4 linked regions of the Nothobranchius furzeri genome follow. The protein of the gene in region 4 interacts with the protein of the main gene of each other region in a pairwise test. Links are inferred from orthologs where the notes say so. Each region holds a gene or a part of one and is shown on either strand. Other genes may lie near its edges.

What was found. The genes of interacting proteins can lie anywhere in the genome.
Region 1: the proteins of lsm3 (region 4) and keap1b interact in binary tests that used the Homo sapiens proteins (3 or more experiments, as listed by UniProt). The two-hybrid records come from large-scale screens. The link is inferred for Nothobranchius furzeri from reciprocal best matches to the Homo sapiens genes LSM3 and KEAP1.
Region 2: the proteins of lsm3 (region 4) and lsm10 interact in binary tests that used the Homo sapiens proteins (3 or more experiments, as listed by UniProt). The link is inferred for Nothobranchius furzeri from reciprocal best matches to the Homo sapiens genes LSM3 and LSM10.
Region 3: the proteins of lsm3 (region 4) and clns1a interact in binary tests that used the Homo sapiens proteins (3 or more experiments, as listed by UniProt). The link is inferred for Nothobranchius furzeri from reciprocal best matches to the Homo sapiens genes LSM3 and CLNS1A.

What each region holds. Positions count from the first base shown.
Region 1 is NC_091747.1:74,194,569-74,198,780, forward strand, and holds the start of keap1b (kelch-like ECH-associated protein 1B), read left to right. Parts: upstream 1-1,412; 5' UTR 1,413-1,676; intron 1,677-3,140; 5' UTR 3,141-3,212; intron 3,213-4,212. UniProt on the Homo sapiens protein: Substrate-specific adapter of a BCR (BTB-CUL3-RBX1) E3 ubiquitin ligase complex that regulates the response to oxidative stress by targeting NFE2L2/NRF2 for ubiquitination.
Region 2 is NC_091759.1:27,048,194-27,052,232, reverse strand, and holds the start of lsm10 (U7 snRNA-associated Sm-like protein LSm10), read right to left. Parts: upstream 2,801-4,039; 5' UTR 2,736-2,800; intron 2,279-2,735; exon of another isoform or gene 2,204-2,278; 5' UTR 2,145-2,203; coding exon 1,749-2,144; 3' UTR 1,678-1,748; intron 923-1,677; exon of another isoform or gene 786-922; intron 1-785. Other genes in the region: protein OSCP1, read right to left, coding at 3,602-3,724. UniProt on the Homo sapiens protein: Appears to function in the U7 snRNP complex that is involved in histone 3'-end processing. Increases U7 snRNA levels but not histone 3'-end pre-mRNA processing activity, when overexpressed. Required for cell cycle progression from G1 to S phases.
Region 3 is NC_091753.1:60,549,141-60,553,094, reverse strand, and holds the start of clns1a (methylosome subunit pICln), read right to left. Parts: upstream 2,801-3,954; 5' UTR 2,541-2,800; coding exon 2,422-2,540; intron 2,084-2,421; coding exon 1,947-2,083; intron 1,853-1,946; coding exon 1,736-1,852; intron 1-1,735. UniProt on the Homo sapiens protein: Involved in both the assembly of spliceosomal snRNPs and the methylation of Sm proteins.
Region 4 is NC_091743.1:73,197,565-73,201,748, forward strand, and holds the start of lsm3 (U6 snRNA-associated Sm-like protein LSm3), read right to left. Parts: upstream 2,801-4,184; 5' UTR 2,735-2,800; coding exon 2,714-2,734; intron 1,513-2,713; coding exon 1,402-1,512; intron 956-1,401; coding exon 860-955; intron 512-859; coding exon 431-511; 3' UTR 1-430. UniProt on the Homo sapiens protein: Plays a role in pre-mRNA splicing as component of the U4/U6-U5 tri-snRNP complex that is involved in spliceosome assembly, and as component of the precatalytic spliceosome (spliceosome B complex).

The DNA.
Region 1 (4,212 bases), on a different chromosome or scaffold from region 4:
ATGCCAATAAAAACATTTTGGCATAAATCTGTGGCTGCAGTTTGATATCTAATAGTGATGTGTCGGTCGCAAACGAACCGGCTCTAAGAGCCGGCTCTTTGAAGTGAACGACGGGAGCCGTCCCCTCCCCTCCCCTCTTGCTTTGGTGCAAGCCACAGGCGATTGGTCAGCATGTGTAACTGCGTGTCCAGACTGTCCACACACAGAGCAGTAGGGGCGGGGAAGAGGGAGGATCAGACTCAGACACACAGCAGAGCACATGCGGGAGGAGGGAGACGAGAGGGAATGAGGAGGAGGTAAAAGGAGAGTGCGACTAAGACGGTGAGAAAATGAGCGCCAGCAGTCAGAAAGTGTAGATTTCTTAAAGTGTTCAGTTATTAAATCCATAGAAATGATAAATATTTGATATATTGAATTTTTTTATATTAGTAAATCATTCTACAAATAGTTTAGTATTATTTTGGTTATAAATGTACTCTACGCAACAGAAAATCTGAGGAGCCACTAGGGAGCCGGCTCTTTTTGGTGAGCTGAGCCAAAAGAACCGGCTCTCTTAAAAGAGCCGGAATTCCCACCACTAATATCTAGGGTGATAAGGCATGACTGTCTGCAACAACTGGAGCAGCTGCACGGGAAAACCTCAGATTTGATGAGATTTGTACCAGTGCAGATGTTTATCCAGATGTTGACTCTACTCACCAGGTTTTGGACGCAGTCCTTCCTCCTGTTGAAATCCAACAGCAAACAGGCGCGTTGAAAGTCGTAAGTCCGCGTGCACAGACACTTGCTGGAGGGTCCCCTTCCACTGATCTCATGGCAGAGCAGTAGTAGACTGATGCAGCTTCCACTCCTTAGGCCTGAACACTCAGTTAGCTTGTGGTGCCACCTTGTGACTGTGAGAGAGACCACTATGACCTGGCTTACATATTTTGTAACAGAAAGAACTGGTGTGTCATATACTATTGGTGTCAGTGCATGCCTGGGGCAAACTGCTGCTCAGAGCTGGAGCTGCTCACAAACATGTTTATCTCAAAGAAGAGTCCAGACAAGCACAATGAGTGTGTGAATGTGTGTGTGAATGGATGAATGGTACACTGCAGTGTAAAGGGCTTGGGAGTCCCTACTCTTGAGAGGCGCTATACAAGTGCGGGTCATTTATCATCTTTTATCATTTAGCTATGGGGTTATTATAGGTCAGATCTTTAGCAGCAGTGTTTTCATTTAGTATTAATCACATACTATTGCATTTTAAAACATTTGTGTTACAAGTCATTAAATAGCCGTTTGTTATTACAGTTATTGATTTCATGTAGCATTGCATTTTTCTTTTTAAACTTTTTACCAAGTATTTTCATTTTACGTTTAGGTGTATTAGAGCATGCTTCCCTTGACACATTTGATTAACTGTGAGTCACAGTTTTGGCACTGTGCTCCCATTTTGGCCTAGCTTTTTCTTCATTCTGAGAATTCCTTCCGAATAAAAGCCTCCTCCCTCGTGACGTACGTTTCTTCCATTACACGTTAACGGAGGCAGGTCTCGCGCTTAGGGGAAGACTCTTATTGTGAAAGTGAGGGGAGGCCGCCACAATTGCTTAGTCACGGAGTTACTGCTTTCCCCTCCTTCCTATGTGGCGAACTGCTCGAAAACCCATGATGGAGGAATTGAGCTAGTCTACGTGAGTGTCCTTTATTTTTTACAAATGTACCAAACCACTAACAGTCTAGAGAACCAGTTTGAACAGGTCTGAGTGCCCGCTGAAACCCAAGTAGCAGTACTGTTTTCAGGCTTCGCTTTGTTAGCGTTAACCTATCGACTCGCAGCCGTTACTCTAGTCTATTATTAGGAGTCCGTGTTGCTGTCAGCTCTATTTCCGTGACATTTTATTTGTTTCTATTGCGTCTCAGATTGTTTTTACTTTATTCTAATCGTTTTACAAACTTACAGCCGATGGCGTCCACCTGCTTTGCCTTTTGAACGCCTCCAGTATTTGATGAAAACGAGCTCAGAAACTGTGACCTTTTTAGTGTGCGAGGCAAAGTGGGCTTTGTAAGAAGCGTCTTCATGTCAGGTAGGTAGATGGCGCGGAAATCTTAATTCCGTTCGGGCTTATGTAAGGACGAGCTCCACTTCTGGGTCGTGCTATCGTACAACCAGCTCTGTTTGCTCAGTGAAGAGTTCACGATGAGTCATGGAGGAGGGAGGCTCAAAAATGTCAGTGAAACATGTTGTGCGTTTGTTTGGCTCGTTCTCGTCTGCTGGTTTAGTAGCGTTTAAATGGGTGAAAGGTCACGTTTAGTTGCCGTTTTTAGGCCCTGAAAGTGGCTCCAGATTCTGATGGTGTTGTACGTCACTGTAGGCAAGTTAGTGTGAAAGGATATGCTTGAGAGTCAAGTGTGACTAGCTGCAGATGTCCCTGCACAATATCCTCTCTCACTAGGTAAAGTGTTGTGGAGTTGCCTGAAGGTGATCTTAGAGGTTATGTCTTGTGAGGAAATGAGTCATGTTGGTGTTACACATTATTTGGTCTTTTTCCAGCTGAGGATTTACAGATGTTTATGTTTGGGTTGTTTTTTTTTTCTTCCCAAAAATCTACTTTTGCAATTCCCTAAAGTACAATCAGTGTACTACAATAAAATGACGTGCACAACACAACTTAAAGGGTTTCTCTGACTTATCTGATGTCAGCCAAATCATGGCAACTTGAGCTGGATGACTTGTAGTTTTATCTGTCACGTCTCAAACTTACTATTTTTAAGTTAAAGTCCCCGGCGCATCCAGAGTGACACTTGACCTACTTGTTTGTTGGTCAGCAGCTTCTGCACCTAGTAGAGAGCAAATGAGTTGAGCAATAAGCTCTTCTGTGAAACACTTCCTCAGAAACCTGGGGAAGATAAAAGCACCCAGTGACTCAGAACTTAAACCGGTTTCATGTTACAGTAAATTTAACTCACTGAGTGCTCACACACACACACACACACACACACACACACACACACACACACACACACACACACACACACACACACACACACACACACACACACACACACACACGCACGCACGCACGCACGCACGCAGCCATCTGTTGATCATTTAAATAGAGTGAATCTCAAACATAACCATTTTAATTAATTTGCAGATTGAGGAGCGGTCATAGGTTGGTGACAACAAAGTCTTATCATCACGTCTCTGCACCATCTCCTGTACCCAGGTGATGATCAGTGTGTGTATGCATGTGTGTGTGCAGATTGTTTAGTTATATAACTGACCCACTCACCCCGTTCAAGGATCAGCAGACAGGCCGTTACAGTTAGTTGTATTGAATATACCACTATTAAAGGCAGTTCGATTTCTGAGAGGTAGTTGGAATGGCAGTGAAGTTCTTTCTAATTCTGCTGCATCCCCTTTGGCTGCTTTAGTGGTATGTGTGATGAAGGGTGTTAGTTCTGTGGAGCTTAGGCCATATGATCCAAGTAGATGTACTGGTTTCCAAACCAGTCTGCAAGAGTTGTTTATTTGTTTCCATTCAGCTAAATGCAAAACGCTGGAAGATTAAAATAAATCACATTTCTAATTCTAGTAGTTTATACTGGGAATGAGTAATAAACTGCACACATTTATTGTTATAAATTATTTTTCTTTATTTTTACAAGTGGCATCTTTTAAAAAGGTGTAGTGTGTATGCATTAATAACTTGTTAATAACACATAAAATGCTTAGACTATTTAAGAGAGTAGCCTAAAACTAGATCCAGTTATATTAAAGAGAGGATTAGTGTGCATTGCTGTGCATGCAGCAGAGAGGGAAAAGATGCTAACCAGTTCAGGGTTTCCCCTAGCACTTTATAAGCCTGGTAGCCCGCCAGGCTAAGGGTCACACCTTGCCCCCCTCCCCGACTCTACCGTGTCCGCTGACACGAACGGCGCAACGAAACTAGAGCCATCCATCATCTGATACTGGTGAGAAACAGCAACGGAACGTGTGCAACCCCGCTCTCACGGAGGAGAGCTGTAGGATCGATTGTTACTATAAGAGAATAAACACTACAGGCCTTCCATTTTGTATAACACTGCTTTTATTGTGTTGTGGTTGGTTATGTTCTGGTGACGTGTAGAACTTGGGAGTGCAGGCGGCTGCCTGAGAGGTGGTTGGAGACGGAGTGTCTCCATGCTGCTTTGTTTTGGTCACTTATGAGCGTGAGGCGAATGGTG
Region 2 (4,039 bases), on a different chromosome or scaffold from region 4:
TGCTATGGTTCGTGTCTGCCACAAGCTCCACCCATCTAAGATGGCGACCGCATTTCCTGCACCTGAGCGGCCAACAGAGCTCTAAATAAATATATCTGTGGCTTGCCCTACTCTGATTGCTCTGTGATCATTTGCTCTAGTCTGATTGATTTCTCTGTGATCATCAGAATCTGACTTTGGCCTCGTTGGCTGAAGAGGAGCAATCCAGAAAGAAAAGGACCGTTTCTATGGCAACCCCAGATAAAAATACGGCGCTTCACAAAAACAAAAAAATTAAAGATAAAAAGATTTTAAAAAAGTTTAAAATAAGAAAAAAAAAATCGATATAAAATGTAAGTAAAGGGAGAGAAAATGAAAGGAGAGGGACACCGGGGGATCTGGGAAAGGTGGAGCAAGAGCAGAACCAGGAGAGGGAGGTCCCACCAAACCCCAACAGCTGAGTTTAAAGGAGACCACTGAGTCCACTGGTCTCAGGCTCGGGGGGAGAGCTCCAGAGTCTGGGGACCACAGCAGCACCTCTGAACTTTAGCCTGGTGCTGCACAGCCAGTACAACCGGATCTGTTGGGTCAGGGCAGCAACAGAACCAACAGAGTGGTGTTTAGTCCCAGTTCTGATTCTGACCAGATTTAGACCCAAACTGGTTCTGAACCTAAGAGGATCCACATTCCTCCTGAGTTCTGCAGAATGGAGTTTTGATCCAGCAGAACCACCAAGGTACGTGCTGTTATCATGCTGCTGAAGCTCACAAAAGGCTCTTTGGACCAGAACCTTTCTCCTGACTCACCTCGGTTCTGATGAAGGTTTAATCGGCGCTCCTCGTCTCTGGCCACTCATCCCTCCAGTGGCTCCACAGAACCGAATCCTGCCTGGGAACTCCAGAAAGGACCATCTGGCTCTGACCCAGGTCCACTGCTCAGCCCGCAGGGTTCTGGAGAGTTCTGGTGGGCGGAGCAGGAAACAACTGGGCGGCTGCAGCCGAGATGAGCAGGAATGTCTGGGGGGGGGGGGGGGGGGGGGTGTCTCCATCTCACAGCTGACTCTGTTACGCTGCAGGTTCTGGTCTCTCTAGACCTGGACCTGTGGTAATGATGTGGTCAGGTTCTGACTCAGGCTGAATCGGATCCAAGTGGTTTTCCTGGTTCGTATCCATCCTCCTGCTGGAATAAAAATTCCCAGCAGCCTTCGTGTTCCAGAGGAACGCAGCTACTCCCAAACATGGTCTGGCCCTCCACCAATCAGAGACGGGCTGGAGACCCGCGGCTCCTGGAACTGCAGGGAGCTCAGAACAAGCATCCCGACCCGGCGCTGGAAGTCCCATCTGCATCAACCCAGAACCAGGACCACGACTAAAGTTCTGGTCAGACTGGGCCTCAGACAGGCTGCTGGTACCAGAGACAGAAGAGTCTCTCGTGTACCGCAGTGGGTCAGAACCGCCCATCAGCTGATCGGAGCTCAGCTCAGGACCTTTCTGAGCGAATAACATGAAAAATGTTTGTTTTTTACTAAAATATCTTCCTTCGGGATCATTTTAGCGTTGCTTCGTCTGGAAAAAGAATCCGAACATGAATTACTTCTGAAGTTTTGTGTTTTTAGTTTTGAACGTTACTCAGACGTCAGTCTTGTTGCCATGCAACAGTCCTCCTTTTGACCGAGGAGCGATGACATCGGGTGTTTACCGTTACCGCGCGAGCGTCACGATGTACCGACAAAGATCGCCCACTCCTGTGCCGAAGCGGTACCGGTCCGATCAGTTCGACTTCTTGGAGAACTCCTTCCTGCCTTCGCTGCCGAAGCTCCGGACTCTGTGGATCTTGTCCAGCTGGTTCTGGATGGTCTTCATCATGTCCACGTCATCTGGGATGTGCACGTAACGCACGTTCCTGCCGGTGATGAACAGGTCCTGCAGCTGGCGGCGCCGTCCCCGCCGGTCCTGGTACAGCACGTCCTTCAGACGGACGTTCATGAAGGCATCCACACTGAGCACACGTCCCTGGGCCGTGGACTCGTCCCTCAGGTCCACCGTGGTCACCCGGCCCTGGAGACCCTGCAGCAGAACCACCAAGCTGTTCTCGGAGATGGTCCGCTCACGAATCGAGTTAACCACTTCACCCGAGGCTGGAGCTCCAGCTGCTTCAGACTCCATGTCCTCTCCACAGGTTCTGGTGCCAGAAACCCGGGCTGCTCAGACCCGGTTCTCCTGACCTGAAACCAGAAGGAAGTTGACTGAAACGGGTCCGTTCATCCCAACAGAACCGAGCCAGACCTCGCCTTTGACCCGTATGATTATGAAGGACTTTCTCTGGCCGGGTTCAGTCCTGTTAGCTGATCCTGTTCTATCAGAGACCTGAACCAGGACCTGTCCCTCTGGTGGTCTCACGGAACCAGAACCGAGCTGTAGCACCTGCTAGCACCTGAGGCTAACACTTTCACTAACAACCGGATCTTTTTCCGGCTTTTCCGCTAAAAAGAGCATAAGCTTCAAACTTGAACCTCGAGACGGGACCAGATTTGGATCCTACCAGATCTCGTGTCTTTAACAGGAATCTCGCGAGACTTAAGTTTTGGGGTTGGCGCGTGCTCAGTGTGTGAAGCTAAAGTTTAGCTAAAGCAGTTTTTACCCGCCGCGGTCAGCATTCTAACGACAGCGGTGCTGATAACGAGGGTCCCGTTAAAATAAACTCGACACATCCGGGGAGATTCAAACTTTCACCAAACAACAACTGTCTGAACTCACCGAACTGCTGCCGCTCCGCGCTGGCTTCCGCTTACGTACGCATTCCATTTAGTGACGTAACTTCCGGATCCGGTTCTGAAAACTCTAAGACGAGTTTTCATTCATAATAAAATATGTTAAACATGTTCAGTCATCAGGAAAGCCAACGTTAAAAAAACAACGTGAACACGACTGCTTTTGAATATGATAACTTTATTTGTTTTTACCAGCGTAGACGACTTTACTTCTGATCGTGTGCGACTGTAGCCAGGGTGAGCCAGAACCAATGGGGTAGCCTCACCTGGCTTCACAGGCCAGGGAGTGTGCCTTGCTCAAGCAGATGACTGCTACACAATGAGCAGGCCTCAAACCTGCAACCCTCCTGTTACAAGGCAGCCACTTACCTCCTCTGCCATTGCCACCCAACGACAGAGCATCATTGTAAATCATGTTAAAACCAGACAACAATACCTTTATGTATTAATTTACCAGACATTTAGAGCTGAACTCTTGGGAATTTTCAGGTAAACAGACACAAAGTGGACGTTTCTGATTCCACGGACTAGATTATAGAGCAGCCTTCCCTTCGTATAAGGACCGGTCCCAGCTTGGAGCATTTTGATCTGGCCTTTATGTCAGACTCAGACATTGTGGTCATTTCTGTAAGATAGGCTTCTATCTTAGCTGATTTTGTTTGTTGCATGTATCCTAATGAAATGTTTTGTTATGATAGCTGTTTTATTGCTTGTGCCTTTGCTACAGCATCTTGGGGATGTACCAGTGCTGTATAGAGAAACGTGAGCTTGAACATCATAGGAAGTTATAAATATTGTCCTTATTTTGTTGACGTCAGACAGTCAGTCTGATGCTGTAATCATGGTATTCAGTCAGAGGTCATCCATCATGGCCAGCAGGTCGGCTCCAGTGCTGCTGCTTTCATCTCCAGGAATTGCTTCTTTGTCTGTGAACTGTCCAGCAATCTGAGCAAGCGTGGAGGTCGTCTCCTCGTCCTGAATCAGACAAATGTTGAAGCAAAAACAAGCTTCAGGGAGGAATGAATGAAAAGTCCCTGAACATACAGATTTAAGCCAAATTTAACAGGTGGAAATGTTCTTTAAATAACAAATGATTAATATCGAGAATTAAGGAAAGCTTGACATGGAGACCTGCCATTTTTCTCAGGGAGCTGGTGTTTATCTTCAGCTTTCTTCAGGAAAAAGACGACACTGGACAGATCTCTTGTCCCTCACTGGGACACACAGAGCCAGCTTAAGCCTAATTTATACGTCTCCATCAGCTCCACCAGGGACAGACACGCACGGACG
Region 3 (3,954 bases), on a different chromosome or scaffold from region 4:
CAAGCAGAATTATAAAACAGCGTTTTAGCGCCGTTGGTCCGGAAGTAGATGGGCGTGGCTTAGGCTCCCTACAGTATGTATTAAATCTGTGCTGTACAGTTCCCTCGTTCCCACCCGATACTTATAGTTAGTTAAAGGTTTGTATTAATATCACTCTTTAGTCACTCCTGCAGCTTTATGCCCTTGTTGTGTAAAACACAGCTGAAGCAGATCAGTCTGTCTGAAGCTGATAAAACGATCAGTCTTAGGACTAAACCTACATGCTAACCGGTTAACAAGCTGATCAGCTGGTTAAAGTTAGTAACTAATTAGTTAACCAAAGCTACACCAAATCAGGCTCACTTTTGTGCTCCTGTCTTTGTTTATGATCGTGTGATTATTAAATGTGTCAGTAGATCCATTTATAACCATTATGTTTGCATGAATCCTTTCCAATATGGCAGCTGGAGTGTGGATCAAAGATCTTGTAGTAACACAACTCTTCTCCCGGCTCTTGGAGATTACAGACGCTTTAGTCCTACTCTCCTCCCCATCTTAACCCAAGGCTCTTTGTCTGTCTCTGGGTGGACGGTGCTTCTGCATTTTTTCTGGAAACTGGAAATTATTAAAGTGGACCTGGTCAGTTGGTCTCTCAACGCGATTGACAACATTTTTCAACGATGAGAACGGGAGAAGGGGCTCCCGGCTGCCCCTCTGGGACAGAGCCAGCTGGGTATATCATGGACTCCTGGAAACAGTGGGACCTGATCTGCCTCTCTCAGCTGTCTGTAGAGGATTCTGAAGACGTGTGGATATTCGTGGTGTTGGTGTCGGGATTCCTGCTCTTCGGCCTGAGTGGTTACCTGGCTTACCGGAAAATTAATGAGCTGTCGAGGAATTTTGGCTCAATCCCGGAGCTCAGGGATGGATTACACCGCGCTGTGAACGCACTAACTCATATAATTGTCGAGATGAGTCGTAAGCTTGGAACTTTGGCTGAGATTCAGGCTCTGGCACAGAAGGTGGATTCCATCAAGGAGAGAGTGGACGGATCAGCACGGACTGGGATAGATTAATTACACCATTATTGGATCTAGAGGGGTTGGAGACCAACAGAACACTAAGGCAGAGAGGAAATTATCTCTGTCTGTCCCCAAAACAAGTTCTTATCTGAATCTGGTGCCCTTGTGCCTGTGAGGCTGAAGTGATTACTCCCCCTCAGAAGAAATGTGGAATGCTGCCGTCGCCATGGCAACTCTGTCTCCCTATCCCAGCCTGGGCGGGACTGTGACCGGTGAAGGCCGTGGAATTGTTTCCAGGAGTCACTGTGCTCTCTAAACCCAACGACCTCCCTCCCCTGTCCAAACGGAGGTGATGAGCGCTGCTTATCGTGGCTGCACGCACTGATGTGAGGAGAGTCCCCAACCCTACCACCCCACCTAGTGGACACTTATGTTGTGTAATGTCGGAAGTCTGTTGCATTTCTGTCTGAGGTGTTTTTTGCAGAGCAAAGCTGCCCTCCCTGTGGAGGGTAACTCTGAAGCGCCTTTTTTTCCTCCACTTGAACCAATCCTCATATGAACCCTCTGATCTCTATTAAGGTAGCGCGACTCGGGTTGCAAATGACCACAGTGTGTCTATGAATGTATGTCTGATCTCAGAATTGTGTGTACTGAAACTCTAATTTCCCTCTGGGATTAATAAAGCATCTTTGAATTGAATTGAAGAACCATCCCCATCCCTCATGGCCACTCACACGCCGTCTTGTCGCTGGGCACAAACCGAATCTCTGTGATTGCTCCATCCTCATCGTCGTCCTCTTTGCTGCTGTCGTCATCATCATCAGCAGCACCCATCTCTGTCTCATTCTCATCTGCGATGGACGCATTAGAAAACCAACAACCATGTAATCAGGTCTAGCTTTAGGTAACAGAGTCTGGATCCTGAATCCACACAGCTCCTCTTACCGCCGACTTTGCCGTTCACCATGACGTAGAGGTGTTCCTGGGGGTAGGAGCAGACGTCTCTGGAGATGGCGTGTAGACCGATCGATGGATACTCCAGAGAGAAGCCCTTCCTCGAGTCATCGAACCACAACAGGCGTCTACAAGACAAAAGAGCCAGCTGAGAGGCGCAGGCTGAACACCAGAAGCTCTCACGCACTTCATGACTTGCAATGCTAATAAATAAAAACACGAGTAGGGTAGTGTGAGAATAAAATGTCACATCGCGGTTATTTATCCAAACTGATCATGAACACATGGAGATATAAATATAACACAAATCCCAGACACGCGGAGAAGATAAACAGGTCAAACCAAAACAAACCAGGTGTTTTATTAAGCTTCTGGTATTTCTAACTTGTAGTTTTGTGGTTTAGCTTCATTACACTGAAACAAGGCTCCTCCAGGACGACTAAGAACCACCACATGCTTCACTCACGTTTCGGCCACACACAGCGTCCCGCAACCCAGCTTCAGGCCGTCCAGCTCCGCCGTGGTGTCCGCCTGCTGGTGTCGCACTCCCTCGGTAGGAGGGTGGAGACTTTTCAGCACAACCATGGTCCAGATAACAGCTAGCTAGCTAGCTGTGACAAAGCACGAGCCGCTGTTGACAGAAAGCTGTGTCAGCTACAAATCTGGCTAATTTAACACGAGAATTTCTAAATAAACGTGTCCCAGAAAGCCGAAGAAGGAAAAACAGCCTCCGCACTTTGCCGCTTTCCCCCGGAGTTTAAGAGTAAATGTGAGGGACTCCGAAAAGCATCATAGACGATTGTAACCAAAAAAGAATATTGTTAGCCAACTGTTCCCGCCGCTCGGCCTACGTCAAGCTGAAATCTCGCGGTTTATTCCGCACGTTAAAAGCTCACGTGACCCATCAGGTCGAAGTTGGATGGCTTAGTTCCTACGTAACTTTAGTATTCATGTAAAGAAAGGTATGTGCGTACGTTTGAAGGCCATACGTAGATGCCCAGTGAGCATGATTTGGAATCGTAGGATTTCCAAGGAAGGTCCCGCCTTTCTCGCCTCTGATTGGCTGGAAGGGCTCTCACGATTGGAAAATTGCGCCGTGAGTCCGTTTGAACGATGTATGGTGGGACAAATCACAAAAATTGAATATCATCACATTTCCCCTGGCAATTTTTGGTAATTATTGAATAATATTACATATTATATTATATATTATGTCCTAATTCCTTCACAAAGTACCCTTTTTATTTTTCCTTTGTAGGAAGACAGACACCCGCGACTGTTCGACATTACAGGAACACGACAGTCCTAACACACTGTAGAACACATTTAGACCACATACATTACTATAATATACTATAGCAATAAATCTGATGTAGTAATGCAACAAGAGGACGACGATGAGGATGGAGCAATCACAGAGATTCGGTTTGTGCCCAGCGACAAGATGGCGTGTGAGTGGCCATGAGGGATGGGGATGGTTCTTCAATTCAATTAAATTCAAAGATACTTTATTAATCCCAGGGGGAAATTAGAGCTTCCGTACACACAAGCGCCTCGTGATTTTTATCTTGAGAGGCGCTATAGAAATGGTATTTTCTTCTTCTTCAACACACTGCTCTAATATAAGCATGTTTAATAACTTTAAGTCCTACAAGAAGCCCTAAACTCGAGTTGTAATATCCATTTTAAAGTGTTTATTGAAAGCTAGAATTCTGCTCCAGCTTACCTTGAAGAAAACATGCAGCTGTTTATGCTTTGAATGATGATCTATTATGTTCAGTAGAATACATTTTACAGTCATTACTTTATATTTTTATGTGAAGACAGTACATGCATCTATAACCCAGTTTATCTGGCTTCTATAGCCTGACTAATGGCAACTAAATAAAAAGAAAACTTCAATAAAACTGTATGGTCAAACACGGTAGATGAAAAAGTGTTAATGGTGAAAAAATGAACACCAAACTTGTACAACATGTATAAAAGCATGTTTAATAAA
Region 4 (4,184 bases):
CGTCATGTAAAAGAAAAAGAATGTTCTGGGACTCAAATGCAATCATTTAGCTAAAAATCAACATAAAAGTTGAGCAATTTAACAAACATTTCGCTCACAAGGGGACCCGAGTCTTTATAAACACTGGAATGACTCAATCGGAACTGATAAGATTCAGAAAAATGTTTTTCTACTAAAAATAATAGTATCTACTGAGGCCGATTCTTACAATCCCAGAATGTGTCAAAAAATAAAAAAAAGTGTCCTCACATCATACTTCCTGGGTTTTTCCCCCCTCAGACATTTTGCCCTAGAGAAGAGCCTCTGATTCACATGAAATTTAAAGATGAAATAACAGTCTAGCATAAGGAAAATGAAGATTTATAACACTCTCCTACAAAAATGGACACTTCCCAGAAGCAGTTACATCATCCTGTCAGGCATGGGGGGCTTAGCCGACTCGGAGAGGCGGAGCTACGAGGACAACGCCGTCTCCTCTGACAAACAACATGGGGATGTTCCTCTTGGTAGACTAAAGAAACAAATACAGTAAAAACATTTAAATAACAGATATTTTATTTAAATACTCACTAAAGTACCGTCAAATTTAAATAAAACTTGAGTTTCTGATCATGAACAATAATGAAACCTCGTAGAATCTTAAAATTCTGTTTTATTACTTTCTGCAGATCTATTCAGCGTTATGTTAAAGTGACAAGTTAACATCGTTTAACGTTTCTGCATCTGATGGATCTTTAAGCATCACCCAACAGTGGCACAAGTTTGCCACTAAGCAAACACAGCAAAGAGTCCAAAACAAAAGCTGTTCAGTAGAAATGTGGCTAGAGAGGTTTTTCTATGTTTGTTCATAAAAACTGACCTTATAAAGTTCTTCATACGTCTCCTCATCAATCTCCACTGTTGTCACCGTCTCCTCCACATCCCCCAGGATCATATTTAAGTGTTGGTCATACGCCTGGACCAGATGGCAAACATTAGTTAGGACATACAGGTGAAACTGGACAAAAGAGAATATGGTGCAAAAGTCCATTTATGACAGTAATCAAGCTCAGATGGAGAGACCATCTACAGGCTCAGGAACCCTCTGCAGGTGTTCTGGATTCATCAGCTGATAAAAGTCTGACACTAGAATATTTACCTGAACACAATATTCTAATTGTCTGAGATTATGAATGTGGGGTTTTCATCAGCTGAATGCCATAATCATCACAAATAAAGGCTGAAATATCTGGGTTTGCGTGGAATGAGTCTGTCTCATAGATTAGTTTCACCTTTTAAGTTGTTTTACTGACATTAGAATTTTCAGTCTTATTTTTTTTACCTGTTTTATCAGCAAGTATTGTGAAAAAACTGGATCTTCTGAACCGTGTGTGTGTGTGTGTGTGTGTGTGTGTGTCGTACATGTAGTCGACCGCGGAGCTCCCGGTCATTCCTCATCTTCACGTAGATCCGCTCATCCAGACTGAGCCTGATCAAATCGAGAGGCTCCTCCACCGTGTTGGTAGGTGGTTGCTGTGGAACACATTAAAATAATCATCAATGTACGGATTCCATTTTTTATTGGCATATTCATCAAATAGCAAACATTTAAAAACAAAACTAGTCGGTTTTTTTACACTCACCGGAAATGTTTTTAAAAATCTAGATTAAAAATATCCAATAGGGATGGACAATATATCGGCATCAATATCGGTATCGGCCGATGTTAGTCATTTTTAAACATATCGGTATTGGTCCCATAAATAAAACCGGGCCGATATTAATTTTTCTATCTCGTCTCCATTTGTTTATCAGTTTCAGAGGGTGAGGGGGGTGATGTGTATTTGTTTAATCATGTGACAGTGATTGTAATCACCTCAGAAGCGTAAATGTGTGTGTTGTGTGTACACAATAATGTAAATCCAGCTTTAATAATTTTCATTCTATATAAAATCTGCAGATTTTGGAAGCATTAATGTCAGTGTATATCGGTATCGGCAAATATCGGTTATCGGCCATAACAGTGATCTTAATATCGGATATCAGTATCGGTCCAAAAATTTATATCGATGCATCACTAATATCCAAACATTGTTTAGCTGAGTCTTTATATTGTTATTTATTCATTTTTGTTGTGTCTGTACAGCTTTGTTAAGGCTTGCCTTTAAAGACCAGGGCTTAGAAAACAAACCATCTGATAGGAAATGTAAAGAGAGTGTGCAGAAGTACTGATCAAACCAATTAAACGTCTCATGACTTATTAACACTATGGTATCTTTGTCACTAATATCTTTATTTTCAATTAAATTGCACATTACAGCTTAGAAATATTCATTTTAAATCATAAACTTTGATCCAAACAGTTTGTTGAGACTCGTTACTTACTAAAGTTAATAACTAAACACAATAGTTAAAGAAAACTCAATATTAATTATTTGTCCAATTTGCTAGACAAACATAACGGGAAAAGTCATTCATTAATCTTTCATTTGTGAGAATCTGGTAACTTTTACGCGCTTACTGATAATTTTAGGATGAGCTGAACGCTAGGTGAATGTGGGCTAACCGGTTTCACAGGCCTAAACACAATTAAACCGTGTTAGCAATTAGCAAAATGCTACGCTTGTATCCTTAGATTAAAGAAATGCATAAAGTTAATAATGCGCGACGAAGTCAAGCAACTGCACAGACGCTAAAACGAACAAAAGTGTATAAACACGGCAACCAAACGAACCTGCTCCACTTCATCCGCCATGATGCTTTAACTGGCCTAGTGCCTCAATGGGCTCTGAGGTCGCAGTCATATATACGTAGACGCCCCGTGGACGGCTGCCGTAGTGGCCGACCGCCATCTTAGTTGGGTCTCCATTCGCCCCCACTGCATTAATTTCTACTTAGGAAGGTGCTTAGCCAACTAAAAAACGCATTTTATCAAGCTTTTTCACAAAAGCTGATACAATATATGGCATGATAATTAAAATATAAATATAATTTAACAAAATAAATTAAAATATATTTAAATATAGAATTCCATGAGGTAGGCTTGTAAAGTTACTAGTAATCCCGCTTGATCTGTTTTCAAATTGTACGCCGGTTGTTGTAACTGTAGGCTGCACATAAACGGGCATAGACCTACAGGTCTCCCATTAGATGTTTAGAGTATCTTGATCTTGATGCTGTGAGGGTCGCTAGAACGGGCTATTTTGCTGACATCATTGATACAAACTGTAACAATTCAAAAATTCTCCATAAAACGCTTAACTCTGTCTCAGTGTACCAGGACTCTGGCATCATTTTTTCTACTGCTGCTGGAGAATGTGATGACTTTCACAACTTTTTCACTAGCAAAGTCTCTGCCATTAGAGCTGCTATTTTTGGTTCATCTACAGACCCTGATCCAGTTACTCCAATACAGTCCACCCTGAGCTATTTTAATACTCTCTTATTCTGAGTTGTCTAAGCTTGTCTCAGGGCAGAAGTCGTCTAGCTCTCCACTCGATGTTTTGCCACCTCGTCTGTGGAAGGAGGCCTTTCCGTGTTTGGGTCAGTCTCTGCGTCTGATCATTAACGGCAGCCTGAGCACTGGAGTGGTTCCAACTGCATTAAAAGCTGCAGTCAGTAAACCGATCCTGAAGAAACCAGAATCTGATGTCTCTGTGCAGACAATTACAGGCCAATCTCTATTCTCCTTTTCAATTTGAAACTTCTGGAGAAGGTTGTGTGTCAGCAGCTTTGCTGAGAGACTGGGTAGGCATATCAGGATCTGCTCTGAAGTGGTTCTCCTCTTATCTGTCTGAGGGTTAGGGTTAGGGTTAGGTGCTTCTCTGTGGCCGTCTCCAAGTTTGGGTCCTCCACCACCTCCCTCGCCCATGGTGTCCCACAAGGTTCTGTGCTGGGCGCTCTACTCTTCCTCCTCTATCTGCTCCCTCTTCAGCACATCCTGAGCTCCTTCAAAGAAATCTCCAACCATCTTATGCAGATGACATCCAACTGTACATCTCCTTTAAGCCCCATGAGATGTCGAAGTTGCAAGAACTTGGCAGTGCATTTCAGAATCACTTGTTTTTCTCCACTGATTTATTGCTTTTAACCATTCATTAGAAAATGTGTGCAGGTGCAGTTTGGGACACATGATTTATTTATTTATTTATTTTTATCCAAACCCTTATGTATGACTCATTGTCTGGTGACAGGACAGGAGCATG